2 linked regions of the Mus musculus genome follow. The protein of the gene in region 1 interacts with the protein of each later gene in a pairwise test. Links are inferred from orthologs where the notes say so. Each region holds a gene or a part of one and is shown on either strand. Other genes may lie near its edges.

The links.
Region 2: the proteins of Shc1 (region 1) and Shcbp1 interact in a two-hybrid assay, tested with the Homo sapiens proteins (2 studies listed by BioGRID, with this or other methods). The link is inferred for Mus musculus from reciprocal best matches to the Homo sapiens genes SHC1 and SHCBP1.

What each region holds. Positions count from the first base shown.
Region 1 is NC_000069.6:89,423,538-89,430,560, reverse strand, and holds the end of Shc1 (SHC-transforming protein 1), read right to left. Parts: coding exon 6,990-7,023; intron 6,865-6,989; coding exon 6,745-6,864; intron 6,372-6,744; coding exon 6,318-6,371; intron 6,007-6,317; coding exon 5,955-6,006; intron 5,796-5,954; coding exon 5,669-5,795; intron 4,047-5,668; coding exon 3,860-4,046; intron 3,774-3,859; coding exon 3,704-3,773; intron 3,623-3,703; coding exon 3,491-3,622; intron 3,354-3,490; coding exon 3,115-3,353; intron 2,245-3,114; coding exon 2,116-2,244; 3' UTR 532-2,115; downstream 1-531. UniProt on the Homo sapiens protein: Signaling adapter that couples activated growth factor receptors to signaling pathways. Participates in a signaling cascade initiated by activated KIT and KITLG/SCF.
Region 2 is NC_000074.6:4,761,265-4,768,832, forward strand, and holds part of Shcbp1 (SHC SH2 domain-binding protein 1), read right to left. Parts: intron 7,048-7,568; coding exon 6,880-7,047; intron 6,759-6,879; coding exon 6,643-6,758; intron 3,826-6,642; coding exon 3,617-3,825; intron 1-3,616. UniProt on the Homo sapiens protein: May play a role in signaling pathways governing cellular proliferation, cell growth and differentiation. May be a component of a novel signaling pathway downstream of Shc. Acts as a positive regulator of FGF signaling in neural progenitor cells.

The sequences.
Region 1 (7,023 bases):
GGGGAGTCAGGGGCAGCGCAGCCCCCCCGAGCAGCAGCAAGCCCTAGCCACGCCGAGGGGGAAAGCACAGAGCCGTTGCACCAACTGCGCGCCTGCTCCAGACTCACCGCCCGCCCGCAGCCACAGCAACCGGAACCGGAACTCCAATGGGTCACCACCACGGAACGCGGTGGGGAGGGAAAGCAGGGAAGGGCCCAGACGCCGCACCCAGGAAGGCTGGGCCTCGCCACGCCACTCCTCCGAAGTGCGCCTGTCGCCGCCCAGCTAGCCCGGTAGCAGAGTGGAACGCACCACTCGACAGGGGCCGTGCGAGCTGCGGGTGGGCCTGGGGGCGGTCCGGACACGCCCCTTCCCGCCGCGAGCCAGTCGCCTTGCAGATACGTCCCTACCGCACAGCCTCGCAGCTCCCCAAATCTCTGCAAACTGGTGCCTGCGGGCTGGCGCTGGCTTGGAGCCCACTGGACCTAGCCCAGATGGGGTCCGTCACCACCTCCCACAGACAGCCCCCATCAATCAGACTTTCCAGAGGAGTTGAGAGGCCGAGGTAAAAGAAATACGAACTTTAATGAAGACTATTTCCCTTTGGTATAAGACATCCAAACCAAAAATTTGGCGACCATTCCTTGTCCAGAAAGCCTACACACAGAGTGAGCTTGCAAGGTTTCTGTGCTGGCTGCAGCTGCCCGAAAGCAGAAGGTAGGATCTAAAACTATCACATCATAGTCCCACAACACTGCTCAGCCAAATTTCTGCTCAGTTGTCTTGGCGAAAAAGAAAAAGGGGGGGGGGAGGAGTGGGGTACAATCCTGTCCTAGTTAAGGCCAGGGAGTAAAATCCCAACAGTTGTTTAAAAAAAAAAATAAAAGTTTGGAAAAGTCATCGAGGTGATGTATAAATGTAATTGATTATCATAATTCTGTGCTCAAAAGTCAGCAATGAAAAACAAAACCAGGAAAATAAATCTACAGCCCTAAAATGTATACATGTTTTTTAAAAAAGAGAGTGCAGTTCCAGACCTGCAAATGGTATTGGGGATTGTCTACTGCTTCAGTCTTATTGCCTCCACAAAACCCACACTGACTGTACACACCCTGGAGGCCCAAGTCAGACGCACACACCTATCCCAAAGGAGGGAGGCAGGATGGGGTTACAGTGAGGGCTATACTTTGGCTGTAGACTATAACACACATGCAAACATGGGAGGAGCAGGCTTGAGAAATGTATACAGACCCCTTGGAGGAAAGGCATTGAGGTCAGGAGGCACTGAGCAAGATGGGTCCAGTCCTGCCCCTCCCCGCTACCATCAGGAAGAAGGCTCTGGGGTAATCGCTCTTTTTGGTTTTTGGAGACAGGTTCTCTCTCCATAGCCCTGGCTGTCCTGGAACTCACTCTGTTGTAGATCGGATGGCCTCACAATTCCTCCTGTCTCTGCCTCCTGAGTGCTGTGATTAAAGGCGTGCGCCACCATATTCAGGCTTGGGGCAATCTCTTAAGGGCTGCACATCCGAAAGGCAGAGCAGATAGCGGCCACTCCTGTCCCTATTCTCCCTAGACACAGGAAGGGGTGCTGAATAGGACAGGGCTCCAGAAGCCAAGGTGGCAGTAACCCCTGTCCACACGTGAAGGGCCTGAGAACTCTGCATTAAGTATCTGCAGACCTATGATAGTCAAAGGCACAAAGTTTAAGGGGAAGCAGAGGGAGTGGGATATGTTATGCGGGATCTGGGGTACCCTGAAGACCCAGGAGTAAACCAGAGGTATAATTATTTCCCTTCCCCCAAAGGGCAGTTGCTCCACTGGGCCTATCATCACAGGGCATTTTCCATTATAAGAACCCACCCTTTGGGGGGGAAGGGCATCAGGTTGGCACAGGCAAGGCCCAGACAAGGGACCACTCTGCACATTAATACTTTGGTGAAGTTTGGCCAGAGGCAGGATGCTACCCCAGGCTCCTTACTGAAACCCTCTTTTTCTCTCTCTCAAGTGGGCACTAAACCCATGTCCTCGTTGCTCCCAGTTCCCACCCAAGGCCAGACCCACAAAACAGAGGTCCCACAAGTTAGAGAATACGGGAGACGGAAATGGAGAGCATCCTGTTGGAGAAGCTGAGAAGGATCACACTTTCCGATCCACGGGTTGCTGTAGGCACAGTTCGCTGCCCGCAGAGATGATGGGCAAGTGATTGTCCATGTGGTAGCTGATCAGGTGACTGACACTCTCAAAGCGGTGATCCTTTGTCCGAACCTGGGAGGCAGGGAGAGAAGGTTGGGTCAAGAGAAGAGCTCAGGAAGACTGAGGAAGGCGGGCCAGCAGCCGTGATTATCCAGGCATCTTTACAGAAAAGACAGTCACATGGGTGGGAATGGGCAGTGAACTGGGCGAAGGGGAAGGAGACCAGAAATCACGGAAGCTGACAGTGAAAATTCTGACTTGAAGGAAGCTGGTGTCTCTCAAAAGTGACACAATGCAAAACCAAGGTGGAAAAAATGCTGAGAAGAGAAAAGAAACTGAGCAGAGCGGTGGCGGCACAGCCTTTAATCCCAGCGCTGGGGAAGCAGGGCAGGCGGAGCGCTTCAGTTCGAGGTCAGCCTGGTCTACAGAGTGAGTTCCAGGGCTACACAGAGAAACCCCGTCTTGAACCTCACCACCACCCCTCCCCTAAAAAAAAAAAGAAGAAAAAGAAAAGAAACCAAGGTTGTATGGAATAGTAAGGCAGGTTAGATTTGTTGAAAACAAAACAAAACAAAACAAAACCCTGAGTTTGAAGCTAAGGAGCTAGGGAGGCTCCTGACTCCTCTTGCAAGAGAAAATTTGGGGTCTCCACCCCCTAACCACTGACACTGGGCACCACTGCCTTTCCAGTGTCATTTCCTCACTTAGCAAAAGATCAAGTAAGCACTCTCTGGGGGCTGGCAGGCTTCACTGGGATGTGAGGACTGGTCAGAACTGAGAAGAACACAGCTCAGACTCGAGGACAGCAGGGAAGGAACCCTGAGCCACTGCAGGTGGATGCAAGTGTCCAGCAAGGGCAAAGGAGTCCACAGGAAGCCTCCGGCAAAGGAAGTCTAGAAAGCAAAACCACACCAGCCCCTGCCACACCTCTGTCACACTTACCACACCTTCAGGGTCCACCAGCAGCAAGTGCTTGGGCTGCCCACTCTGCAGGCCAGTGAGCACATACTGGCCAGGCGTGGTCGTGCTCTCTCGCACCAAGAAGTCACCATTGAGCTGCAGCAGCGCCTCGGCCTCCCTCCGGCTCAGCTTCCCGTGGAACCAGGGCTCCCCTTGCAGCTGCTCAGCCATGGACATGGACTGCGGTGGGGGTGGCACCCGAAGTGCATCTTCAAAGGGCTCTAGGGGTGTAGAGAGACAGCTGGGAGAGGTGCCCCAGTATCACCTGAGACCCAGACTCAGTGTGGGAAGCCAGGTAGGGGAGAACAGGCAGAAAAGAAGGAACAACGGAAGGTGGGGCTACAAGAGACTCACTCACTCATGTCAAAAAGGTCTCGGGGTGCACTGCCATTAAGAGAAGGATTTGGGGGCCCAGCCCCACCCCCAGCCTGCCGGGCCTTGTCTAGATTCTGGATGTTGACATAGGAGGGGTCATCGAAGAGTTCTCTGCCTGTTAAGGAAAAAAAGACAGCATCAATCCCAGCCCCGCCTTCTGTACTCATCTCTGTCCGTATCAGCAAACTGTGCTCACCTGGGCAAGGCGGCGGAGGCAACATCTGTTTACGGACTTCATGGTCTCCTGCAGCATGCTGCCCTATAGGCTACAGAAGAAGAAAATTGGGTGAGACCAAGGCCCTAGCCAGCCATTCCCACCCTGGTCTTAAGCATCTCCATCCTGGCTCCTTACCAGTGTAGCTCCCAAGTGGCTGGACATCTGGGCACTAGGCAGAGTGGGTCGAGCAGCCCCTTCCCGAAGCCTCATATCTACCACCCCACCAAGAGGGGGTTCCTTCCCTGGAAAGTCATTGTAGTACTGATGGTCAGGGGGCTCTTCTTCCTCCTCATCCCAAGCTGAGCCATCAAAGCCAGCCATCCTGAAAAGAGAAGGATGAGAGAAGAGGCAGGTGTAAATCTCTAGCTAGGAGACCCAGGAAGGGAGAACAGTGATCACATACTAGGCACATACTATGGCTCAGCTCTGAGGCCTGATGTTATAACCCTGTAAGGCTGGTATTCCTTCCACAACTTAAGAAACAGCAATAAAAATTGGGGGTGGACCTTTAATCCCAGCACTCGGGAGGCAAAGGCAGGCAGATTTCTGAGTTCAAGGCCAGCCTGGTCTACAAAGTGAGTTCCAGGACAGCCAGGGCTACACAGAGAAACCCTGTCTAGAAAAACAAAAAAGGGGAGGAGAGATACACACAAGATCTCTTAACTGAAATTAAGAAATTAACTCTCACTTTTGACAGCTATGCGACCTCCTCAGAGGCGTGGAAGCACTATCAAACAAAGCAGATGTCCAGAAGGATTTCACAAAGGGCCTGGTGGGTCACACTGATAATCTCTTGAGACTTGAAGAAAGAAGCCTGGGGACTCTCCGGTAAGAGATGCTGGGACTTGGGAAATAGCTCATTTCCTAAAGTGTGAGGATCAGAGCTCAGATCACCAGGATCCGTGTGTAAGCCAGGCCACCTGTACAGTGGTGGCCACCTGTAATCCCAGCACCCTTGAGGCAGAGACAGGATCCAGAGCAAACTGGCTGCTGCTAGCCCTATCTGACAAGCTCCAGGTCAGAAGGAGATCCTGCCTCAATAAAGTGTGCCGCACCAGAGGAAGACACCTACATCAACTTCAAACCTCTGTACCCACACACAACATAGGCCCCACATGCACACATACACACATACACACACACACACACACACACACACACGTACAAAAAAAAGAAAAAAGTTTTTCTCTTAAACCAGATTTTTTTTCTTTTCTCTCTAATTCTTCCCCCACCCACCCCCTTCTTTCTTCCTTTTTCTCTTTTTTTGTTGGTTTCTCTATGTAGTGCTGGCTGTCCTGGAACTCCCTCTGTAGACCAGGCTGGCTTCAAACTCAAACATTCTACTGCCTCTGCTTCTTGAGTGCTGGGATTAAAGACATGATTACAGTCCAGATACCATAATGACCTTCAGAGGCAGGAGAACACAGAACAATGAGTGGGGGAGCAAGTGCTCCGGGGTTAACCACTGCTGATCTTGCAGAGGACCCAGGTTTGGTTCCAAGCACTCACGTGGCAGCTCACAACCACCTGGTATTCTACTCCCAAGGGACCCAATGCCCTCTTCCGGCTTCCATTGGCACTGCATACACTCGTATACATGCAGTAAATTACACATATGATAAAATAAAAATAAATCTTTAAGAAAAATGAAAGTGTACAAGAACACAGGGATCGGCCAAAAATGAACAACTTGAGAATTCAATGTTCATTCAGCCAGAAAAAGCAGTCTAGTGGGAGGTGCTGGGCTGTAACTCCACCCTAGGCAAACAAAAGGAAGAAACTGTCCCTGCAGCAGGCATGGCCCTCAGGTCTCTTGATGAGCCACTGGAGAGCTGACACAGCAGAGGAGGGACAAAGGGTCACACAGGTCATTACCTTTTCTGAACCCCTTGGAACTCAAGCATGGGAAGACACTTCCTGCCTCGCCCTCTCCCACCAGCTCACCTGTCATGGGGGGTGACCAGCTTCGGTGGATTCCTGAGATACTGTTTGAAGCGCAACTCAAAGGCCTGCCCGATGGTGCTGATGACATCCTGAGCAAGCCCTTCAGGACACTCCAGGATATGGCAGGCTGGGACACAGTGGAGACCACCAGTGAGCTCTGAGGCAGGGGGCTGGCATGACCTGTGGGAGGGAGCCCCCACCCAAGTCCCTCCCAGCAAGGGAACCCTATCAAGTGTAACTGCTTTTCAGATAACTGGCCCCACCCAGTGCTGCCCGCAAGCCTCACCTCTCTGATTCACAGGGTCTTTGGCAACATAGGCAACATACTCAGCTGTGTCCTGGAGAGGGTAGATTCAGGAGACCAGTTAGCTAGAGTTTACAACTCCTGATCCACTAAGACTCTGTCCCTTTCAGACATTTCACAACCCTTGCACCCTACTTCTTTAGCCAGTATCTTCTCTCTCCCTCCCTCTTTTGGTTTTTCAAGGATTTCTCTGCATGGCCCTGGCTGTCCTGGAACTCAAGAGAGTCACCTGTCCCGTGAGTGCTGGGATCAGTGTGTGCCACCACACTCAGCCTCTAGCAAGCATCTTTCTAGCCCCATGTCTCTTCTTCCCCACCCCAGTCTTTCCTCTGGTCCCCAACTCACCGGATCCCCACCGGACGCGAAAGAGATAGATTGCATGTGATGGTTGGCAATGATCTGATGAGGGTGGGGATGGAGAAGGAGGGGATGGTAAATGTCAGGCAGCCTCAGGGCTTGTGGCCCACCCCAGTGCAGAACCTTGGAGCCCCAGGCTCATTCTCTTGGTCTTTTACCCAGTGTTCTCCTGATTTCTTTCTTCTTTTGGTGGGGTGAGGTGCAAGGTCTCACTGTGTAGCCCTGACTGGAACTCAAAGGCATTCACCTGCCTCGGCCTCCTGAGTGCTGGGATAAGGGTGTCACTATCCTTAACCTTTCTAATTTCTTCCTCCTCTACTGTCCAGTTGTTCCTGAGAGCTCCGAGCTTTTGGTCTCTGATTCCCATTTGATGCTCCCATAACTATCTCTGGTCCCTTTCAGCAGCCCTACCTACCTGTTTGCAGTCGGCTGCCATGAGGTTAAGGCTGCTGGTAGACACAGTGAGAGTGATTGGCATTCCAGCAAACTTCAGGTTACTCCTCCCCAGGATGGAGCTGAGTGGGCGGCTACAAGGCTAAGAAAGGGCCCAGAGTCTCAGAATCTGAGCTTTCCCAGCCTGAGGAAACACCTGTCCCATCCGCTATGTCCTGAAGTGCCTTCCCCCTGCCTCCAATACCCAGCCCCAACCACCACATATACCTTTCTCCTCCTTGTCGCCCCTTTGGCACCAGGC
Region 2 (7,568 bases), on another chromosome or scaffold:
GTACTACTCAGCTATTAAAAACAATGGATTTATGAAATTCTTCGAGTAATGGATGTATTTGGAGGATATCATACTTAGTGAGGTAACCCAATCACAAAAGAAGTTATTAGATATGCACTCACTGATAAGTGGATATTAGCCTAGAAACATAGAATACCCAAGATACAGTTTGCAAAACACAAGAAAATCAAGAAGAGGGAAGTCCAATGGGTGGATACTTCATTCCTCCTTGGAACAGGGAACAAAAATACCCATGAAAGCATTTGGAGAGATAAAGTTTGGAGCTAAGACGAAAGGATGGACTATCCAGAGACTACCCCTCCCGGTCATCCATCCCGTAATCAGCCACCAAACCCAGACACTATTGCATATGCTAGAAAGATTTTGCTGAAGGGACCCTGTTATAGCTGTCTCATATGAGGCTATGCCAGTGCCTGGCATATACAGAAGTGGATGCTCACAGTCATCTATAAGATGGAACACAGGGCCCCCAATGGAGAAGCTAGAGAAAGCACCCAAGGAGCTGAAGGGGTCTGCAACCCTATATGTGGAACCACAATATGAACTAACCAGTACCCCCAGAGCTCATATCTCTAGCTGCATATGTAGCAGAAGATGGCCTAGTTGGCCATCAGTGGGAAGAGAGGCCCCTCGGTATTGCAAACTTTATATGTTCCAATACAGGGGAATTCCAGGACTAAGAAGCAGGAGTGGGTGTGTAGGGGAGCAGGGCGGAAGGAGGGTATAGGGAACTTTTGGGATAGCATTTGAAATGCAAATAAAGAAAATATCTAATAAAAAAAGAGAAAGATTTCAAAAATGTATAGCAAAAGAAAACATAGATAATATTATTAATACAACTTGAAAAAAGTTCACAGGTAATCTTTTCCGTCTCTACCCAACTCAAATATTCGTTTTCTCTTCCATATCATCTTGATATTAGATTATTTCAAGACAAATCTCATGCATATTAGCCATTCCTTTTCAGAATGTATCTTTAAAACACTTCTGCTTCAAAGCCCTTACATGCAAACTTCCAATTTTATACTTCTTCCAAATTACAAAAGTGAGAGGCATGTTGGTCAAATGCCTCTCACTTTTTCCACCTGGTAAACATATTTAAGTTTCATACCTAGCCGAAATTATTACCCATGCCAATACAGTACCAGATACTTATGTGTCATTTACTATACATCTCCTTCAGAGTTGGTTATTTCAAAGTAGAAACCTCGAATGAGCCTCAGCTCCCCATATGAGTTATATATCAGTCTGCCTATGTGAACTTTTAAAAACACAAAGCTGATCATATTTTCCAAATAATGAAAACTTTGCAGTGGATTTCCAATGTTCTATTATAGAACTGATTAATTGGCTGACAAAGCTATGCACCTTCTGACTTACAAAAATGTTAGATCCAGCTGGGTGTGGTAGCACATGCCTTTAATCCCAGCACTCAGGAGGCAAAGGCAGGCGGATTTCTGAGTTCGAGGCGAGTCTGGTCTACAAAGTGAGTTGGGACAGCCAGGGAAACCCTGTCTCAAAAAAAAAAAAAAATTCCTAACATATAAAAGAAAATAAACTTTATACTAATAAAAAAATGTCAGATCCAGCACCCCTGGACTATGTTATGATTGTGCAGGTCTTTCAGTATCTTAATATCACAGACATCCTGGACCCGTCCTCCTTGCCTAGGTAACCTTCCCGACTCAAGTTTATATGTTACTTTCCTAAGAAACAACCATAGGATAACAATTTCAGTATATTAATTCTAGTTTGTACTCATTGCTGTTTCCAGTCATGTATGTAAGTCTGGGTGATAACCACTTTTTTTTTTTTTTGGTTTTGTTTTATTTTGTTTTAATATTGAGTACTCAATTGGTGTAGAAATAAAAATCTCTAATTCCAAAGGCAATTCTGAGCATAGTGAGTCTGGGTGTTAGGGAGGGCTCAGGAAAAGCAGCTTAAGCCACTAAAGGTATAGAAATTAGAAAGTACCTTTTAGACTACAAAACACCAAACAATATTACTGATATCACCTAATCTTCCAATTCCTGAAATGTACATCTAATTTTATTATTTTAATATATTTTCAAATATATGTTTATTTGAAATTTTATTTTAATAAAATAAAATTTGTGAAAGACAAATTTGTTTAGTCAAATAAGGCTTAATCATAAAGAATGAGTATATCAGTGCCTATTATATCAACACATAAAAGCTGTATTTATATTATATACCTTAAAAAATACAAAACAAATACAAACAAATACAAAACAAAGGACAAATATACTAGAATGTACATAGATTATATAGAACTTGAAAACAAATGTTGGGGATGGAGAGATGGCTTGGTGGTTAAGAGCACTAACTCCTTTTCCAGAAGTGCTCTGTTCAATTCCCAGCAACCACATGGTGGCTCACATCCATCTGTAATGATATCTGATGCCCTCTTCTGGTGTGTCTGAGGACAGCAACAGTATACTCACAGACATAAAACAAATACATCTTAAAACAACAACAACAAAAACAATACCTCCCCCCAAAAAACCCAAATGTCTTTAAGTAATAATACAATTTTCTTCTTTTACTCAGCAAATCAGATTCAGATTTTAGAGTCCAATTAAAGATATACATACGTTTTAAGCAAATTTCTTATACACAGAGAGAGAGAGAGAGACAGACAGACAGACAGAGACAGAAATATACTATAACATGAACTATAATAAAAAATTTATCTGAAGTAATTTTAAAAGCATACCAAGAGGTGGTTCATCAGCTTAGAACACTAACTGATCTTGCAGAGGACCCGTGTTTCAGTTCCCAGCACCGACATCACAATGATTCTGTAACTCTAGTTCCAGGAGATCTAAATGCCTCTATGTTCACATATATGTGGTGTACATTTAAAAATGTAGGCAAAATACCAATTCACATAAAATAAAATATTTTTTAAAAATAAAGTATATTTAGTAATCTAGACATTACACACATTATTTCATTTAAAGGGACACCACTACCTACAGAAATAAGACACAGGAACACATCCTCTAAGAACCTTCAACGTAGAATGAGAAAATAGTTTCTCTGCTTAGACATATTCTTGAAAATGATGTATACTATTTCAACTAGTAGTATACAACTTTTTTTTATTTTCTTACCTTTCATCGTTTTTTTCTGTCCTATTACATTCAAAATGTACCAATCACAAGCCTTAGCATCCATGACTTTTAAGTCAGTTTCTAAATCAATAAGAATCAAATTAAGAATTCTTTATCTTTTGTAAACTTTTGAAGAATTTTAATGATAAACAAGAATTTCATGTATTATTTTTTTCAACTTTTTTTTCTGGGTTTGAAGTGATAACAGGTTAAAAATTTAAGATATCAAGATTTTTGTTTTTATTTTTAAGAGATTTCCTATGGCATGGATATGTGGCTCAGTGGTAAAGACATTTTCTAGTGTGTATGAGGGCCTAGGTTCAAGCCTCAAGACAGGATTAAAAAACAAAAAAGGAAAGAAAACAGAAGAAAAAAAGAGAAAAGAAAAAAAAAAAGATTTATTTCCATTAAATTGCAGTTTTGGCTACAAGGTTACTTCTATCAGTGTTCCTTTCTACCTGACGTGCTCAATTGCAAGTGCCATCTGGTGGAATTCATGTGAGTCATCTGATACCACCCACAACTCCTGCAGAGGCAGATGAAACTCCTTCAGGTCCAAAAGCTCCTTCACATTGGCCAAGGTAAACGTGCTCAATTTAGATTCATAGATGCATGGCTCTGCAAGCCTTACGACCGCCTTCAGGGATGGAAAGTCCACATTTGTAACCTGAAATTCAAAACAATGTGGCTCATTTTAATACTCAGAAATCAAAGTGGAAACACACAGTATAAAATACTATTTATAATCCACTTTTTAAAAGTAAGTAATGTGTCAGCGTGCCTTTTAAGGACAAACAAAACAGAAATGGCTTTTATCCTCAGAATATAAATCAAGGAGAAAAATAAACAGTAGGACTTATGGGTAAGATTTCGGAAAGGAAATTGCTTTGGTGAGACAGTGAAAGAAATCACTTAGAATTTTCAAAATGAGAATATTAAAAAAAAAGGAGGATCAGCACTAGAAATTAAAATAGCAGTGCTAGAAAAACTGAAATGTACTGAGAAAAAGATAGGCAACTCAGTTCCCTAGCAGTGGGAAGGAAAACAGGAGCCTCCTTCAAACGGTAATCCAGGTGTTGCTGGTAAAGAGAAGGAGAGTCTGACTTTCAGAACAAGACCACAGGGTTTTACAAACATCAAAACCAGTTTTGAGTTTCGGTGAAGCAATGATTCTCCAGAATTTTACTGTTACTCTATATGACTGGGAGGGCACAGGCCCCGCAAAATGTTACTTATTTAGAACTGAGCTAAAACTGGGACCTCATTATGAGAAACAATTATAATAAAGAAAGTCTGAATTTAACCTGCCACAACTCCAGATGATAGACAGACAGCTCTGGATCCCAGCTATAGAGAGCAGAAAAGCCCGATGCTGAAAAGCAGAAAAGTGCCAGCAGCAGGAAGTTCTATTCAAACAGTGAAGCGCACAGAGAGAAGCAGTCCCATTCTCAGCTGCCAAGAGCAGAAGGAATCAACCGAAAGCAGCCCTAGAGCTCCACTGCCCTAAGCCTAAACGCAACAGGGCCATCAACCTGTCGCTCACCGCGGGGAGTTCCAGAATGTTTCAATAGTCTACTGGCATCTCTCCAGCAATCTGATGAATATTAAAAGACTTCTAATGTACAACAAGCTAGACCTATATAAGAGTTCAGTGCTGCAGTTGTTTCTTACATTCTTAAAACATTTGAGAGATAACTCCCAAGTAGAACATTAGTTACCGCATGGGTATAAAGAGGAAAACATCAAGAGACTGACAAAAATCTGCACAGTCCACAGGTAACACAAAGATAAACTACAAAAGTGAAGACATATCTGGTGGACTTCAGACACTGTAAAATATAGGTTCAACACCAGCAGAAGCCGAAGGAAAGAAAAGGCACAGATGCCCAGTAACCATCTACCTCTCCCATCCTATGCATATGACGTTTTCCAGTTTTCAAGGACCTAGAAAGAAGCTGTTCCAACATTATTTATTATTATTACGATTATTATTATACCCATTATATTTTGCTGTCCCTCAGTCTTTTGTCTTTATTACAATATCAGATGTATTTTTATTTCATTTATTTTTAAAAATGGTTAAAGTTTTAAAAATAATTTATTACTTCACTTCCTACAGTCACCTAACTTGTGAACTTTTTCATTAGTGGGTAATCATTTTCCTCTTCTTTTGTCTTGCTCCCCCACTTTGAATTCTGTTCTATAGTTGTAGAAATATTTAATGGCTTTTGTTTAAATAATATTTTAATTTCTACTCCTGTCCATATATTTAGGTAATTATGAACTTTTTCATTCCTGAGGGTTTCCCCCTCCTTTTTGTGCCCAATCAGTTGCTCCTTTCTCTTTTCTCGTCTTAACACTCCTCAACTTCCGTCTTCTTTTCATTTATTTGACCTTGCTTCTCTTCTGTTTCTTTCTTTTCCCAGCCTCTTTCTTTCACCTCATTAATGCATTAGAGACACATTTATCCTAAATAATTTTTAACTTTATAACACATTCTCCATGAATTTTCCCACTGTCTGGCTTACGGTCATCAGTGATGTATTAGTGGGCTTTAATCAATTTTAAGTATATTTCTATATCTTCTACACTTTAGTGTTGAGCTATCAGAACTCTGTTCTCCTCACTGAATGGTATTGGGAATTAAAATACCCAGCTGAACTGGTGAAAGGATTAAATTTAATTGGGAATTAAAACCAGGAAGCTGTTCATGTACGATCTCTAAGTAAAACCAGAAAAGTTATCTAAACCAACAAATGTCTAAATTCCATCACAAAATACACAAGCAATAGGAAAAAGTAAAGTAACAGGAGGCCTCCAAAATAATACAGCTTTTCAACTGCTGAATTCAGATATAGAAATAGGTAAAATACCAAGCGAAGTTATTAGAAACTCTCTGCTATACATTTGTGGTTGAGAATCTAGAACGAGTTTGGCTCAGCAGATAAAGGTGCTTCCTGCCAAACCTGAGTTCCTGGGGTCAGGCCTCTGAATCTAAAAGGTGGAGGAAGAGAACTGACTTCTGTAAGCTGTCCTCTGATTCCTACATAAATATTCAGGTGTGTGCACACAGGCACACACACACACACACACACACACACACACACACACAAACAATTACTATACTTAAAAATTTTAAAAAGAAATATGAAATGGAGGAAAATATCTTAATGGAGGCATAAAATAGAAAGAGTAAAGGAATACATGTGATAAGAAAGCAGGAGTCAGAACTAAGTGGAGGGGTGTCTGAGGAGGACAACAAGTGAGAACAAAGTATGTCACACATGTATGAGGACGCCGCGTATTATTAAAACTAGAATGTTTAACCCTTAAAAATTAGTTTAAAACTTCACTATTAAAAATGATTAATGACTCCAAGGAAGATTAAAAAGAAACAGATTAATTCAATCCATGACCTAGGAAACAAAGTCAGAAACACAGAGGACAGCTTGGCAAAATATATACATAAGAGAATTCAACTTACCTCAACCAACACCTCAAACACATTAGTGTGCCAGACTGCCCACCATCCAGATGGTTCAAGGACCTTTTCCAAGAAGCTGACTGTGAATTCCTTTACCTCAGAGGCCTTACAGTCAGCTACAAATTAAATAAGAATTGGAAATGTATAGATGAGAAGTTAATAAATCCATCTGAGTCCACTTTCTTAGAACTGACAATCTATGGACAAGCTACTTGCAAAAAAAAAAAAATTACTCACCTAAAATGTAATCTTGATAGGCTCTGAATCGTTCATAAAACAGAAGTTCATTTGTTTGGATAATTCGTGGAAAAGGAGTTTTTCCTTCTGGTATGAGAGTTTTTACAGTAGCACCTGGATTAGCATGATAGCCTTGATCACTGCATGGATCTGCATCCAAGAATAAACCTAAAGCAATATAACACAAAGACTCAACCATCTAGTGTAGAGGTAATGGGCTACACCACTTTGGCTCCCAGCAGGTCGCACTTACACACCTGCCCAGGAGCTATCTGGATTCACAAATGGAAGACAGATACACACACACACACACACACACACACACACACACACACACACACACACACACTAGTTAATTTTAAAATGCCTTGGCTAATTCAAATGCTGGGCAGTTCTAATTCTTCCCACAGCTAGCATACATTTCCCTCCTGTAACCTGGCTTAACACCTTTTTTATTTTTTTAAGATTTATTTTCTATATATGAGTACAGCTCCAGTCCAAAGATTTATTTATTATTATACATAAGTACACTGTCTTCAGACGCACCAGAAGAGGGAGTCAGATCTCATTACGGGTGGTTTTGAGCCATCATGTGGTTGCTGGGATTTGAACTCAGGACCTTCAGAAGAGTAGTCAGTGCTCTTACCTGCTGAGCCATCTCACTAGGTCTGGCTTAACACTTCTAATTC